Arabidopsis thaliana: one gene and its partner. The protein of the gene in region 1 interacts with the protein of each later gene in a pairwise test. Each region holds a gene or a part of one and is shown in the gene's direction. Other genes may lie near its edges.

What was found.
Region 2: the proteins of AT2G39750 (region 1) and AT2G30160 interact in a protein complementation assay, tested with the Arabidopsis thaliana proteins (one large-scale study listed by BioGRID).

Annotation. Positions count from the first base shown.
Region 1 is NC_003071.7:16,575,091-16,584,400, reverse strand, and holds AT2G39750 (S-adenosyl-L-methionine-dependent methyltransferases superfamily protein), read left to right. Parts: upstream 1-1,964; 5' UTR 1,965-2,119; coding exon 2,120-2,845; intron 2,846-2,937; coding exon 2,938-3,087; intron 3,088-3,182; coding exon 3,183-3,453; intron 3,454-3,611; coding exon 3,612-3,722; intron 3,723-3,940; coding exon 3,941-4,100; intron 4,101-4,348; coding exon 4,349-4,606; intron 4,607-4,687; coding exon 4,688-4,810; intron 4,811-5,017; coding exon 5,018-5,095; intron 5,096-5,207; coding exon 5,208-5,415; 3' UTR 5,416-5,577; downstream 5,578-9,310. Other genes in the region: BPM3 (BTB/POZ/MATH-domains containing protein), read right to left, coding at 1-314, 800-1,188; HESO1 (Nucleotidyltransferase family protein), read right to left, coding at 5,697-6,341, 6,449-6,559, 6,673-6,803, 6,900-6,969, 7,073-7,168, 7,260-7,438, 7,582-7,746, 8,013-8,151.
Region 2 is NC_003071.7:12,874,468-12,881,669, forward strand, and holds AT2G30160 (Mitochondrial substrate carrier family protein), read left to right. Parts: upstream 1-3,331; 5' UTR 3,332-3,548; coding exon 3,549-4,337; intron 4,338-4,703; coding exon 4,704-4,910; 3' UTR 4,911-5,194; downstream 5,195-7,202. Other genes in the region: AT2G30150 (UDP-Glycosyltransferase superfamily protein), read left to right, coding at 191-683, 778-1,655; PBCP (Protein phosphatase 2C family protein), read right to left, coding at 5,335-5,387, 5,481-5,529, 5,607-5,689, 5,760-5,883, 5,961-6,058, 6,142-6,221, 6,311-6,463, 6,554-6,633 and 2 more.

The DNA of each region.
Region 1 (9,310 bases):
TTCTATCCACATTGTTATTCCCAATTGGTCCAAAAAACTGAGCTCTAAAAACTGGGGAGCGTGCCGCGAGAATCAGTTTGTGAGCTTTGTATGTTTCATCTCCGACTTGGAAAGCTATGTCACAACCAACTTCAGAATCTAACAAGTCTTTCAATCCCTGACCCATATTCGACAGGGGTAGCACAATGCCATACTGTTTTGGACCCTCGAGTCGGGCTCTAACAACGCCAACAGTACAATTGATGACAAGACAATCATCCTTTAAGTAGTCAGAGGTTTCTAAAGCTGATCGTTTGAAAAAGCGTTTGTAACCCCTGAAATTTGTGATGATAAGTCATGATAGAGAAAACACCAACTTCCAGAAGGAAACCTCACTTTCAAGGAAATGAGTCAATATATGAAATCAACAGATGATGCAAGAGTTCAAAAAAAGATTCACGAAACTTCAAAAGCAACATGCACACACCTTAAACCTCTCAAGGGATTCAAAAGCCATACTTTAAAGAAAGAGAAAGAACAATATGAACCATACAATTAAAAAAACTTGTGCTTTACACAATTTTAGCCGTAAGCAAACAAAAGCACAAACACATTGATAAAGTTCCTTAATTGCTTCTGACAGAGAAGCACTAGCAGCTCATTCCACCACAAACATTTCTGCAAAATAAACTATCAACATGCAATTCAAGCAGAAGATAAACAACATTACTAAAACCTAAATGCAACAAGCCACAGTAACCTAACAAATGCGATTATATCATACTACAACAGCAAAATGAAATGGAAACGAAGCAATTACCACATGCTTCCTTTATACTTAAGTGTATAAGGACCACCTTCAAGCGCCCGATCAAAGTGACTATGCACCTTATGTTTCCCTTTCCCACTCTGATCCATAAGCGTAAGCTCAAACAAAGCCCTAATATCATTAGAATCACTCGCTAAAGCGATGAACAAAGAGATATACGAGGACTGGTCCTCCGGGTTCTTCCCATCAGGATAGAAGTAAATCGCCCAATCGTATCCACCAACGGAGAAGATATCGCTCTGTATAAACTTCCCAGGGCTCATGCCTTTGGCTAGAGAGTAACCTTGAATCGTGAACTGGTGCGAACCGTTCACCGTTTCGATGAACGACGTTGAAACGGAATCAGGTATCAACTGCTCTATACCTCCGACGGTACTCATGATCTCTTCGTCGTCGATTACGAAGAATTTTCCGATGGGAGAATTGTGAACTTCATGAATCGACGAAATTGGATTAACCTAGAAGACGAGAGGTTGTTTGTGAAAATTATGAGAATTTGGGGGAAACTGTTTTCGCCTTCTTTATTTTTTATTTTAAAGGATATTAAATGTAATGGGCTCGAAAGTAGTGTCCAACGACCATAAGCCAACATTATTGTACATTCTTAATTTCATTTAAACCTTTGTCTCTCTTTCTTTTCAATCTTGTTTGAATGGTTATCGCAGTCGAGGTGGACAAATCCGTTTGCGATTAGTCCGTTTCATCTACAAGATGGACAACAAACCGCTACAAATCAATTATATTTGTATGTAAAAACAATCCATTGTTAGTTTACAATGATTTTTTAGGTAAATGAAAAACGTTTTAATCCGTATACGGATTTGTTCGCTTCAACCATTATATTCATTTGCATGAAGACTGAACCGCACTGTGTGATATAATTTTAATAGTAAAACAAATATTTATTACTATTAGAATCTCATCGCACTTTATCATAAGAACATTTAACATAAATATTTTATAAATATGATTATATTCAATCACATGATTAAAAAAAACCAGTTTTTAGTAAAATCTTTTCATCATTTGCCGATAACGTTTAACAAACTATCATGTACTATTTTTTTTTTTTTTTTTTTTTTTGCTGAATTAGATTTTAACAAGACATGCTATTGAAAAGACCCTTTTTATATAAAACTCTCTGCAACTTTCTGATCTTTTAACTAAATTCTGCAAATTCTTCTGTAGTGATAATTTTACCGAACGCCAGAAAAATCCAAAAGCAACAACTGTAAAATTACACTAATCATCCTCTCTCACACAACAACACTACGCAGATCCAGAGATCGCTGATCCTTCACACGCAAGCTAATGAAGCCTCTCACTAATGGCGATCTGTTCAAATCCCCAACTCTGATCAAGATCTCCGCCTTAGTTTTCGTCACCGTCGCTTTCTTCTACTTAGGCAAGCATTGGTCCGACGATGGCTACCAACAGCTCGTCTTCTTCTCCTCTTCCACTTCCGGTAGCTCGATCCCGGAGGTCTCCGTTTCACCGAATAGTAACAGAGTCTTTAATTTATCAGCGATAATTCCTACTAACCATACCCAGATTGAAATCCCCGCCACAATACGACAACAACCTCCGTCGGTGGTGGCGGACACGGAGAAGGTTAAGGTGGAAGCTAATCCTCCTCCTCCTCCACCTCCTTCTCCTTCACCTCCTCCTCCGCCTGGTCCGGTTAAGAGCTTTGGGATAGTTGATGCGAACGGTGTGATGTCTGACGATTTTGAGGTGGGTGAGGTTGAGAGTGATACAGTGGAAGATTGGGGGAATCAGACTGAGATCGTTGAGGCGAAAAGCGACGGTGATTCTAAGGCTAGGGTTAGAATTAAGAAATTTGGGATGTGTCCTGAGAGTATGAGAGAGTATATACCTTGTTTGGATAATACTGATGTGATAAAGAAGCTTAAATCGACAGAGCGAGGTGAGAGATTCGAGCGTCATTGTCCTGAGAAAGGTAAAGGCTTGAATTGCTTAGTTCCACCTCCTAAAGGTTACCGTCAGCCGATTCCATGGCCTAAAAGCCGTGACGAGGTACTCCTTTGTTTGCATGAGTTTTGCATTTTGGTTGGATAACATGTCTTGGGATTTAGTTTAAGTAGTATTTGGAATTTACTTATGGATAGGTATGGTTTAGCAATGTTCCTCATACTCGGCTTGTTGAAGACAAAGGAGGTCAGAACTGGATTTCACGAGACAAGAACAAGTTCAAGTTTCCTGGAGGTGGTACACAGTTTATTCATGGGGCTGATCAGTACTTGGACCAGATGTCTAAGGTGGCTCATTTTTCCAAGTAGTAGTTCTTGTTTTTCGCGTCAACTGTTTATGTATCTTTTCATCTGATGTTGAGCTCTGGAGTTTGTGTCTGCAGATGGTTTCTGATATTACGTTTGGCAAGCATATTAGGGTTGCTATGGATGTTGGTTGTGGTGTGGCGAGTTTTGGTGCTTATCTATTGTCTCGTGATGTCATGACAATGTCTGTTGCACCAAAAGATGTCCATGAGAACCAAATTCAATTTGCTCTTGAGCGTGGTGTGCCTGCTATGGCGGCAGCATTTGCGACAAGGCGTTTGTTATATCCAAGCCAAGCTTTTGATCTTATTCATTGTTCAAGATGTAGAATCAACTGGACTCGTGATGGTAAGGTTCTATGGTGTGCTTGATTCTTCACCTAATACATCAGAAAAAGATTAAGATTGCACCTACTGTAATTTTTAACTCCCTGTGTGAACTATGCTCTAGCTTTTATTACTTGTACAGAAAATTCTCACTCTGCTGTTTCATTCTTTGTGATAAAGATGGAATTTTGCTCCTTGAGATCAATAGAATGCTGCGCGCTGGAGGATATTTTGCTTGGGCTGCACAGCCTGTTTATAAGCATGAACCCGCTTTGGAAGAACAATGGACAGGTAACATCCTTTTAATCTGCTTTGAGTAGGCCTGTAATTCAGGGTTGATAAAATTCTTTGGTCTTAATAAACTTTTTGGAGTTAGTAATCATTGTACGTGGCTTTATTATTTACTACAGTTTGTCTCTGTGGGTTTAAGGAGAGTTTTTTTTTTTCTTTATTACTACTTTGATTCAGCCAATATGTGTACTCTTTTAATCTCACATTTTGTTTTCCAGAAATGCTGAATCTTACTATTAGCCTCTGCTGGAAATTGGTAAAGAAGGAAGGATACGTTGCAATCTGGCAGAAGCCTTTCAACAACGACTGCTATTTGAGTCGTGAGGCTGGGACTAAACCTCCTCTTTGTGATGAATCAGATGATCCCGATAATGTTTGGTACAGCTGCTAATCTTTCTGTTTTTCTTTGTTTGTGATACAAGGCCATATCTTGCTACCTGCATGTGGAAGCATAACAACAGAAGAATAAAGGCTACATGTTCTTAAAATGCTGTCAGAGTTGCATCAGAACTTTTTTTCAATTTGATTTGTTTTGATTGCATCTAGTCTGTCTGTTAACTTGTCTGTGACAATGTGTGCAAAATATCACATTTTTTATGCCTCATGTTGATTTATTGTTGTTTTAGGTACACAAATCTGAAACCTTGCATCAGTCGCATACCTGAGAAAGGGTACGGAGGAAACGTCCCCTTATGGCCTGCCCGTCTGCATACTCCACCTGATAGGCTGCAGACGATAAAATTTGATTCCTACATTGCTAGGAAAGAGCTATTCAAGGCAGAATCAAAATATTGGAATGAAATAATTGGGGGCTATGTTCGCGCCTTAAAATGGAAAAAGATGAAACTAAGAAATGTTTTGGACATGAGAGCAGGCTTTGGCGGGTATGAAATAATATTTCTTTGTTAGGTATTATACAGGTATCTTAGCTTATCTCTCTTCATTTATTCCTTTGGCTTTGGCAGATTTGCAGCTGCACTAAATGATCATAAACTCGATTGCTGGGTTCTAAGCGTGGTTCCTGTCAGTGGGCCTAACACATTGCCTGTCATTTATGACCGTGGACTGTTAGGAGTGATGCACGATTGGTACTGTTTTCTCCTTAGAATCTGTCATATGAAATCAGAATTTGGAATCCTATAGTTGAAACCTTGGAAATTAGTGATTCATCTTGTCCTTTTCTCTGTTCATGTTTTTTAAACACAAAAGTTCATCTGTTTATGTGTCTTAAGGTAAACTAAGATTTAGTCTCTGGCTCTGGATATTTTTTTAATAAGTGATGCATTCTACCTCAGGTGTGAACCATTTGATACATACCCACGGACATATGACTTCTTACATGCCTCTGGACTCTTCTCGATCGAGAGAAAAAGGTAAGCATCATTATCTGTAACTCAAGTTCAAAGTGATTTATAAATTTTTAATCTATGATCGTGTGGTGCCTATAGTTGAGTTTAACCATTTGTCTTGTCTGAATATTATCAGATGTGAGATGTCAACCATATTGTTAGAGATGGACCGGATATTAAGACCCGGTGGAAGAGCATACATTAGGGATTCAATTGATGTTATGGATGAAATTCAAGAAATCACAAAGGCCATGGGTTGGCATACTTCTCTGCGTGACACATCCGAGGGTCCTCACGCAAGTTACAGGATTCTAACATGCGAGAAGCGTCTCCTTCGAGCTTAATACCACACAAGTTACTGCACTAGTCAACACAATATATTTTGTTTGGTAGTATATCTCTTATTGTTTTCTTCTTTTTTCTCTTAATGTAACTGTAAATTTGATTGTGGTGTTTTACTGAGTAAAAGTTTACCTCGTCCTCATTTTTTAGTAACAACATTCTGCTATTGCAAATCTGTTGATTGTAACGAATGGATCCATAGAAAAAAAGCCCCAAGGTCAGAATACAAAATCATCCAAAATATGTGAAGGAGTATCTCTGAACCATGTCTGCACACCTCATTCTACTGCTCATGTCTCGGTCTCCAGATCTGTCCGCCTTGGCTTGGAATTTTTGATGGAGGCCTTGCGGAGTTCACACCATTCGTATATGCAGGTCTTGCAGAGTTCACACCATTCATATGACCAGATGGCTTACCAATGTGGCCCTGATTCTGACTTGAACCAGCAGATGTATTTTTCAATGGTCGGTTCCCACTCTTATATGGGCTCTTCTGCTGCGTTTGAGTTTGTGTGATTACAGGCCAAGTTTGGCCTTGGACAGGTGGTTGCCCCTGAAGATTCCTGGGGTTGTTCTGAGTCCAATTCTGTTGTGGTCGGGATTGTGTTAGTGGTGGCCAATGTGGTGGATTCGGGGTATTGTAGCTCTGTGACCAATTTTGCTGCATTTGCTGGTTCTGTGGCCTAGCCTGACCATGCAGATTACGGACATTGTGCATACCGTTTGCATGATGTTGACTTGGGAGGCTTATTGTTCTGTACAAAGACTCTTGAATGTGTTGCCCTGTCAGAATCCCTATGATGGAGTTTCTGTTACACTCTGAGACAAGACGGCGCGATGTAATCTGAAATACTTGAGCTATTCTGTCCAAATTTCTACGGCTCACACTCCTTGCAGCGTTCACCGGCTGCTCAAAAGGATCTTCAACCTGAAACACACACCATTCCCACATGTTAGCCGGGAGACTCACATGGTGCCATAGAGATGAATATAACTCAACAAGAGGTTAAGAGAAAGAAAGAGAAAGAGACTAACAAAGAGTGAGTATGTCTTTGGCAGCCATGTAGTGTTGCTGCTTATAGTTTCCCATCTTCCAGTAAACGGGCAAACACCGAACTCTTGGGCCTTCACGTTTATGTCTGAAAACTGATAGATACAGCCACACAGCAAAATCAAGATACTAATTTCTATCAAGAGCACTTTAGTGGATATTATTAAGGGAAAAAAATTAAAGCTAGAATGTATGAGAAATCAATCACCTTTGCAAAAAAAGAGACCAACAGCTCCGAGAGCGAGCTTCGATTGACTGATTTTGCTCTCTCTGATTTAAATCTCGCAATATTAGCAGCAGTAACTTGCGCTATGCTTTCCTCTGCAGTTTTCCGTACACCTACAAGACACCATACCGCTAAAACTTTTGTCCCTTTACCCCAAAAACACATATATTTTGTGTGGTTTGGCTTCAAAACCTTTTCATTGAGCGTACCTGTCAGATCATCAACCGCACTCTTCGGATATATCACTCTTAGAGGCGGCAAGATTGCAGGCACACAAGTCTGCAACAAACAACATAGAACATCTTACTATGGTTTCTAATGATGCAGTAACTGCAGAAGGCTGAAGGCAGCAAAATCTATGAATACAGAACAGCTATCTTACCTGAAAATGGAAGATGACTAACAAACTGAGAGAGTAAGAGTTGAAAGTCCCGGTCTTTGAGTCGTTGATATTATGAGCTTTCGCCCATTCCTTCACCTACAAATGTAGAATACACGAGGTAGATACGTTTAGAATCAATTAAACCTTTGGAAACACACAATATGGTTTTATTTGCATGTTAACTTACTAGCAAAACCAGGTCGCGGAATCTCCCATCTATTTCACTGATCCAGAACAAGAACCTGCTCTTCAAAAGCCCATCCAGGTTATCAATAGAAATGTCACAAGAAATTCTCTGGTGGCCGCTCACTACTTTCAGAATAGGAACTCGCGCATGAATAACAAATTGCAGTTTGTACCATAGACCTGTTTTTTGAATGATAATGGATGTGAGACAAATCGGCACATGAAATAATACTTAAACTACTTAAGTAGTATATAAGGTAAACAACAGTGAAGCAAAGAGAAAACCAAAAAAAGAAGAAAAAAATAGAAGCTAAATGAATCACCACTCGCTCTCAGTGCTCGTAGTAAATGTCCGAGTAAAGTTTGTTTCTGCTTCTTTCCAGTGAACAAGATGGAAGAACCGCTGAATAAGTCAACAGAGATATCTAAGTCTCCCCATCGTGTGAAGAGATTTGACACAAAGGATCCAAATGGTTGAACAGTAGCACCTAACAATCACAGAACCAGACAACGAGCGGCTATAAGCATCACATGAAATAATTTGTTTCCAGAACGAGAATAGTGCGAAAGAGTAACATGAACCACTTCTACTATTCTGCAGCTACAATTCCAGCAGATATTACCTTACTGAAAGCTCGAAGTATCTCACTTTCATATCCAATATCATAATCACATCCATGGCTGGTATGGTTCAAGGCAGTACTAGACAGTAAGAAAAATGGGAGAAGCACAAAAGTGCATCAAGAGTCATCACCTCTTAAACATTCTACGGATTGTAAGACGTCACGCAACTGATCAATGACTGTGATCCTCGTATCCCTATCTGCTCGTGTGGGTTTAATCACTTGAAGAATTTCTTGAAGAGTAGGATCCAGGAAAGGGTTTCTACTCATCGTCTTGCTCCCTCTACAATAACACCAAACACACATTGCCAAGTTATCTCAAAGAAAACATCATGCAACAATAACACAAGGACTTCACAAGCTCCAATCAAAGTAAATTCTTGAGATTAAAGGTTCAGTTTTTCTGATATCTTGCTCACTTACTACTCCAAAGGAACAACCTTTGTCACTAAAAGCAAGATTCTTCATTCTCTAGACCCAGTGGCCCACATTTTAGTATCATCAAAACTGTGAAAACTCTACCCAAAACCTTACAAAATTCCTAATAAAAAGAATCAGTGAGTACTGGGTTTTCACATCCACTGGACTTACAAAAGGATGATTCGAAGGAGATGAAGAAACCTTTAGCCCAAGAACCCAGAATCTAATTCCAATCTAGGGTTTTTCTCTCCCAAATCAGTAATCCGTACCGAATCACCCAACTTGAGAATGCTCGGAGATAATTTTAGCGCTCGCAGGCGAAGACAATGAAAAGTCTTTGGAAGGTTTACTTTATTTTATTCAATGCGACGAAGGAAACACTTCTTTATTTCATTTTATTTAATGAATGATGTGACCATCTTTTTTAGGAACCAATAACATTATTACAAAATATACTATAGAAAATTGTTGGATTTTTAAAATCAATGCTAAATTAAAGGGTATATATTCAATCAAATATTTTGAGATAATTTATTTTACATATTAAAAAAATTGCATGTTATTTGATCATAGATTTTACAAAGTCATATTAAATATGATGTTAATGGTTAGTATTTGTAAATATCTCTTAAACCCTAGTTATTAAACTGATGAATTTTCTTTACATCTATTTTTATTAGAAACATTTTAGACAATGTTTATTTATGATTTTGATGTGGTTGCATACTTGCATGCACATGGAAAATTATCCTTTTGACAAAAACTAGTTGGCTTTCTTCTTTTTGTTCAATCTTTTATCCTCCTCTACACATTGTCTCATATTTTATTGCAATGGTAACCTCAACTCTTTTTACAGTTAAACCTCCATAAATTAATACTCGATAAATTAGTAACCTCTATAAATTAATAAATTCACCAGATCCCAAGTTAGGACCAATGTAAAAAGTGTAACACATCGATAAATTAATAAGATAATAACTTTTTTGAAAGTCCTATGTAAATATATAGT
Region 2 (7,202 bases), 3.7 Mb from region 1:
AACAACAAATGTGATAATCAGCAAAAACAGCTTGAAAGAGAAGTAGACACAATCATTAACATTATGGGTAATGGCCTAAACAATTGGACCACGTTTGTTGTAAAAGCTATCCTCTGCACTCTGCAGCTTTCTCAGTCCTCACTTCTCTCACCCACAAAGTCACAGTAACCAGAAACACGTTCCACATCCTATGAATCCAATCAAACCTCAGCCACTCGGAGTCCGCCACGTGGTGGCCATGCCTTGGCCAGGAAGAGGCCACATCAACCCAATGTTAAACCTCTGCAAAAGCCTCGTCCGGCGAGACCCAAACCTCACCGTCACATTCGTCGTCACCGAAGAATGGCTCGGGTTCATCGGGTCCGACCCGAAACCTAACCGGATCCATTTCGCCACTCTCCCCAACATCATTCCCTCCGAGCTCGTCCGAGCCAACGACTTCATCGCCTTCATCGACGCCGTCCTCACCAGATTAGAAGAGCCGTTCGAACAGCTACTTGACCGTCTAAACTCTCCTCCCACCGCAATCATCGCCGATACTTACATCATTTGGGCAGTACGTGTAGGCACAAAAAGGAATATTCCGGTGGCTTCTTTCTGGACTACGTCAGCCACGATTCTCTCCCTCTTCATTAACTCCGATCTTCTCGCAAGTCACGGCCATTTTCCGATCGAACCATCAGGTAGTTACAAAGTTCCCATTTTTACTGATCAAAACCGTAAAGTTCAATACTTTCATCCATAATTAGTGATTTCTGAATCCGGGTTTGTTTCCAGAATCAAAACTAGACGAGATTGTTGATTACATCCCCGGTTTATCTCCGACAAGACTCAGTGACTTACAGATCTTACACGGCTATAGTCATCAAGTCTTCAATATATTCAAAAAGTCTTTCGGTGAGCTTTATAAAGCTAAGTATCTTCTCTTCCCTTCTGCTTATGAGCTCGAACCAAAAGCCATTGACTTTTTCACTTCCAAGTTTGATTTCCCGGTTTACTCCACTGGTCCGTTAATACCCTTGGAAGAACTATCCGTTGGAAATGAGAATAGAGAACTTGATTACTTTAAGTGGCTTGATGAGCAACCTGAAAGCTCTGTTCTTTACATATCTCAAGGGAGTTTTCTTTCAGTCTCCGAAGCTCAGATGGAGGAGATTGTTGTAGGAGTTAGAGAGGCTGGAGTTAAGTTCTTTTGGGTGGCTCGTGGGGGTGAGTTAAAGCTTAAGGAGGCTCTTGAAGGTAGCTTGGGTGTTGTGGTGAGCTGGTGTGATCAGCTACGTGTTTTGTGTCATGCGGCTATAGGCGGGTTTTGGACGCATTGCGGGTATAACTCGACATTGGAAGGGATATGTTCGGGAGTACCGTTGCTTACATTTCCTGTTTTTTGGGATCAGTTTCTGAATGCTAAGATGATTGTTGAGGAGTGGAGAGTTGGAATGGGGATCGAGAGGAAGAAGCAGATGGAGTTGTTGATAGTGAGTGATGAGATCAAGGAATTGGTAAAAAGGTTTATGGATGGAGAGAGTGAAGAAGGGAAAGAGATGAGAAGAAGGACTTGTGATCTCAGTGAGATATGTCGTGGAGCGGTTGCGAAAGGTGGTTCTTCTGATGCTAACATCGATGCTTTCATTAAAGATATTACTAAGATCGTGTGAGTTCTATTGTTGTTAATGATTCAAGTCTATATTAGTATTTGTATAAGTTTGTTAAAGATTCAAACTTTGTAGAGATTTAAGATTGTTTGTAAAACTGTTATTTATAAGTTCATTTGTTAGACTCTTTGGTAGAGCTTAATCTCGTGTGTGCCTAATTTTTGTTTGACTTTGGAAATGAATTGTGAGGAGACAAATATAGAAAATAATTTATGAAATGAATTGATTTTGGTAAAGCTTACTGGCTGATTGGTTACACTATAGCTGTAGATTATTTGCTGTAGAATATTGGATGTAAGTGTAAGCTGTAGCTGTAGATTTGTAAAGATTTTATTCAGTTTGTTAGAGAAAATACTCCAATTCTGCATAAAATTCTAAAATCTGATCTTAATAGGAATGATTTTCACACATCTCATGTTTTATCTACCAATATTTTAACATATTTTGCAGTAAATTTAATATTTTACTTGATATCTAATGCTTTAGGACAATTTTTTTTTTACTTTATTTTTGATTTGAGTTCTTCGTTTTTAAGAATTATCGGTTTATAAATAACTAGATTCTGACCCGCACGTATACGTGCGGGGTTTCATATTTTTAAAAATGTATTGGAATATATTTTTAGTGAAAGATATTATAGTGTATAAATTATAATATGCATAAAAAGTGTAAAGTGTTATTTATGATAAAATAGCTATTTTTTGTAATTTATATTATTTATATTTTATTTGTATTTTGCATAGTAAATAGATTGTTAGATTTGTTTCGATTTGTAGAATAATATAGAGATATTTAGAAAATTTGTGTATTTTTGTTAGTTTGATGTATATATAAATTGATTGTTTTTGTTTGAAATTTGATCAATTAGATGATATAATGTAAAATTTTCTCCGTGGTACACCTTTGGTCGATTTTTTTGTAACTAAAAATTCAAATTTTAAGATATAGTTATTTTGTAAATATTGTTTATTTTGTTTAATGTTTAAGAATATATAATTATGTTATAATTATTAATTCTAAAATTTCACTCGTAGATTATCGTCCTTTATTAATATCAACTCAAACTCATCCCACCATATAATTTCATTCCGTAAAATGAAAAATTATTTTGTTATTTTAAATATTGTTATTGTAATATAATAAAAAAATCGAGGGATTGACATGTGGTACATCTTGGATTAATATATTTAAAAATAATTTGTATATTTAAAAATCGAGGGATTGGGTAATTATGAATATATTGATTTTAAAGTCGATTTTTTAAAAGAACAAAATCCAAGATATTTATTTTGTTGTAGTGATTGTTAATTTACTAAACTACCCATGCAAAAATTCATTTACTTAATTTTAAACTACCCTTACAATGTTGTAGTTCATACAATACTTCTCAATTAATAATATAGATAACACTTATTAGTTTTCAAGGGATAAATTTTTTTCCACTTGTGTACATTTAAATTCTACCAAAGTTTTAAAAATTTACGATGACAAAAAAATAATATTCGTATTCATAATATAAACATAATCTAATAAGTTTTTTTGGTTAGGTTCATATCGCTTAAATTAAAGTACGATTTAAAAAAAAAAAAAAAGTAAAAAAGTACGTTTTTGTTTTGGTAAAAAACACTAAAGAGGCAAAAACGTAAAAAGGCAAAAAATATATTTTTACTTGGGGAAAAAGATGTTAAAGCCCACAAGACAAGGCAGAGGTTTCTCCCATGCTTTGTCTTTAGTTTAACCGCCGCATCCTCTCTCTCTGGTCGGAGAAATCTCCAGATTTGGTCATTTCTCCAATCTTCTCGGAACCCTAATTTAACCAAACCTCTCCTCCTTCAGATTCATCTTCCTCCTAATCTCCCTAAAAGCTCAAACCTTTCTCTCAATCAATTCTAAACAATGGCAACAGAAGCAACAACCAAATTCCCAGAATCCGATCTCCGTCCAATCCCACAACCACCGGATTTTCATCCAGCAATCATCGTTCCAGCTCAAAACACAACTCTTAAATTCTGGCAACTAATGGTCGCCGGTTCAATCGCTGGCTCAGTCGAACACATGGCTATGTTTCCAGTAGATACAGTCAAAACCCATATGCAAGCTCTTCGTTCATGTCCGATTAAACCAATCGGAATCCGTCAAGCTTTCCGTTCAATTATCAAAACCGATGGACCTTCTGCTTTATATAGAGGTATTTGGGCTATGGGACTTGGTGCTGGACCAGCTCACGCTGTTTATTTCTCATTCTATGAAGTCTCTAAGAAGTTTTTATCCGGTGGAAACCCTAATAACTCTGCTGCACACGCTATTTCCGGTGTTTTCGCTACTATATCTAGTGATGCTGTGTTTACTCCAATGGATATGGTTAAGCAAAGGTTGCAAATTGGGAATGGAACTTATAAAGGAGTTTGGGATTGTATCAAGAGAGTAACGCGTGAGGAAGGGTTTGGTGCTTTTTACGCTTCGTATAGAACTACTGTGTTGATGAATGCTCCGTTTACCGCTGTGCATTTCACTACTTATGAGGCGGTTAAGAGAGGTTTGAGGGAGATGTTGCCTGAGCATGCTGTTGGAGCAGAGGATGAGGAAGGTTGGTTGATTTATGCTACTGCTGGAGCTGCGGCTGGTGGGTTAGCGGCTGCTGTAACTACTCCGCTTGATGTTGTTAAGACGCAGTTGCAATGTCAGGTGATTGAAATATCTCTAAAGCTACTGACTTTTAAGTATCTGATAGCTAATGTGGTTATAGATTGGCCAAGCTACTTTAAGTAGTTGTCTCTTGATCCTATAGATCACTTGAATGAAGAAAGATATCTTCTTTCTTCTCTTTGGATATTTTGTGATTTCACGAGTATGATTTTATAGGTAACATGTAGATTGCATCAAGCATTGTTAGAACTATGGTCATAAAACTTAATATTACTGAATTTACATGTGAAAGTCGCATAGATAATGTTTCTATATTTGTGGTTTAGAATACTTGGTCAATAGCTATTTCATAGGATTTGGGTTGTTTTGTTTGTTCTGAGAAGTTTGTTTGTGGTGATGTTTCAGGGTGTGTGTGGTTGTGACCGTTTCAAGAGCAGTTCAATAAGCGATGTGTTCCGTACAATAGTGAAGAAAGACGGTTATAGAGGACTTGCTAGAGGATGGCTACCAAGAATGCTCTTCCATGCTCCAGCAGCTGCGATTTGCTGGTCCACTTATGAAACAGTCAAATCTTTCTTTCAAGATCTCAATGGTGAAGCAAACGCAGCTTGAAAAGACACAAACATACATGCGTTTGGCATAATTTACTTGCCTGATTCAGGTCATTGATTCTTCATAGAGCTAGCTACTGGTTGGTTAGTATTAACACTAGCTCTTAGAGAAGATCTCTGTTTGTATAATTTATTTGTTTTCTTCACGCAATAATGTTATCAGATTAGAGTTACAACAACCCCAAGGCCTTTTTTCTGGTTTGCATTGATAGAGAAATTTTGTACTTTTATTTGTTTTAATGAGAAAGATACTATAAAGAGATAGATGAGCTTAAAGAGTGTCCATTCACAAGGTCAATGATAAAGATTCGATTCTTATTGTTTGAACTTTGAAATACCATTTATCAATTTCTGTGAAGAACAAGTTTCTTACAAGGACTTGTACAAAAAGAATAAAGAGAAGATCTTATCATGAACAGAGTGATTCATGAGCTAACAACTTTGGCAACGATCACAGTGACATCATCAAGCTTCCCTCCTGCAATTTTCAGAACCAGAGATCTCAACTAAGAAACTACTCTTGTTTAGTATAATATGTCAGGATAATGCATCAACATTGTTGTTTATTTACCTGTAAGCTTCTTTCCTAGTACCTTCTTCCAGAGAGGAACATCAAACCCCTGCACATATACGTTGATTCAGATATACTTTGCGTGAACTGGTAAAATTCATTCTTAGATCAAGTTAAAAATCTTACCTTGGCTCTTGCTTCTAATGCATATGGAGACTCAAACTCTGTATCTCTTGAATGGCTACTCGCCACTTCAGCTAATAACCTTGCTGTAATGGTTATACCAAAAAACATGTAACTTACTAAAAATCAAGAGAGATGGTATATACATATACATACATGACTCTGCAACATCTGTATGCTTGGTCACTATAGAAACGATCTCATGATCAAACACATTATCGAAAAGTCCGTCTGAACCCATCACGATCACGTCTCCCTTCTGTACTTCCACTATGCTAAACTGCTTGAAATGCAAAAAAAATGATACAAAGGTACAATACTAGCACAAATCATGAAGAGTGGTAAGGATTTATTTACCGATGCATCTAGATAAGTTTGAGCAGACCCCTCAGAGCTTAGTTGGTAAGGACAGTCAAAATAGTGCTCTTGTGGAGCAGTGGCAAAAATAATCTGACCTGAAAATGAGAATGAAAGAAGAAGATCTTTGTCAAAGGCTGAACATGAAAACAATCTAGCATCTTAGGTTACAGTGTAGTACCTTCCCGAAGAAGCTTAAGTCCACAGTCACCAACATTGCCTATTTTGAGAATACCCACTTCCTCAAGCATAGCTAGAATACTGCTTTCATCAATAACCGGGACATCAAGCTATCCAAAAAGGGAACAAAAACCAATCTTTGAAGAGAATAACAATCAAATCTCACTCACATTGTGGCAGAACCTCTAGAAGTAGTTGCGGTATGAGCTTTGTCAATGAGAAAACCAGGATCATATCTGACCTCTTGGTCATCAACTAAACGAGAAGCGTTAGCCATAAGTTCTTTAGAGAACAAGGAAGGATCAACATCTTGTTCAGCCCAACTGAGACAGAAAAAAATATAAACTTTATCAACATTAAGATAAACCCACAAAGAAACTCAAAAGTTAGCATAACCAAAAGCTAAAGCTTACCCGGAGACACCATCTGCAACAGCCATGACTCCACCTCTATAACTACTTACAAAGAAAGCATCTTCACCACCTTTCTCTACCTATATAATTTCGACACTAGATGTCGATTTTAATTGCATAAATATTCTCTAAGCAAATCCAAATTCATTACATCCAAAGAAGAAAAACAGAGACTTTGGTCTGGTGTTACCTTATCTGGATGAGGGATTGCGTGAATTCCGACAGATAAAGAGAGTTCAGGCCTAAAGGAAAATGCAAACATATTTTGACAAATGAGTTCTCAGTTTCGAACAACGTAAACTCGAAATAGTACAAGAGAGAGCAGAGACCGAAGTGGTTGGATTTCTGATGGAGCACAGCGACAGAGGAAGTCAACGCGACTAGGGTTTGGATGTGAGAGACGAAGCGATGGTATTGCGTGAGGAACCATCATTCTCGTCACTGGAATCGCCATTTCCTGCAATGGCTTGCTCTCTCGTTCTCTTTCAATCCTGTGGTGGTGCGTACTTTGTGTGTGAAGGTTGTTTAATTTTAGAGATAATTATTAACTAGAAGAGATAGAATCAATAAGCACCAGTGGTCTAGTGGTAGAATAGTACCCTGCCACGGTACAGACCCGGGTTCGATTCCCGGCTGGTGCACTAAGCTA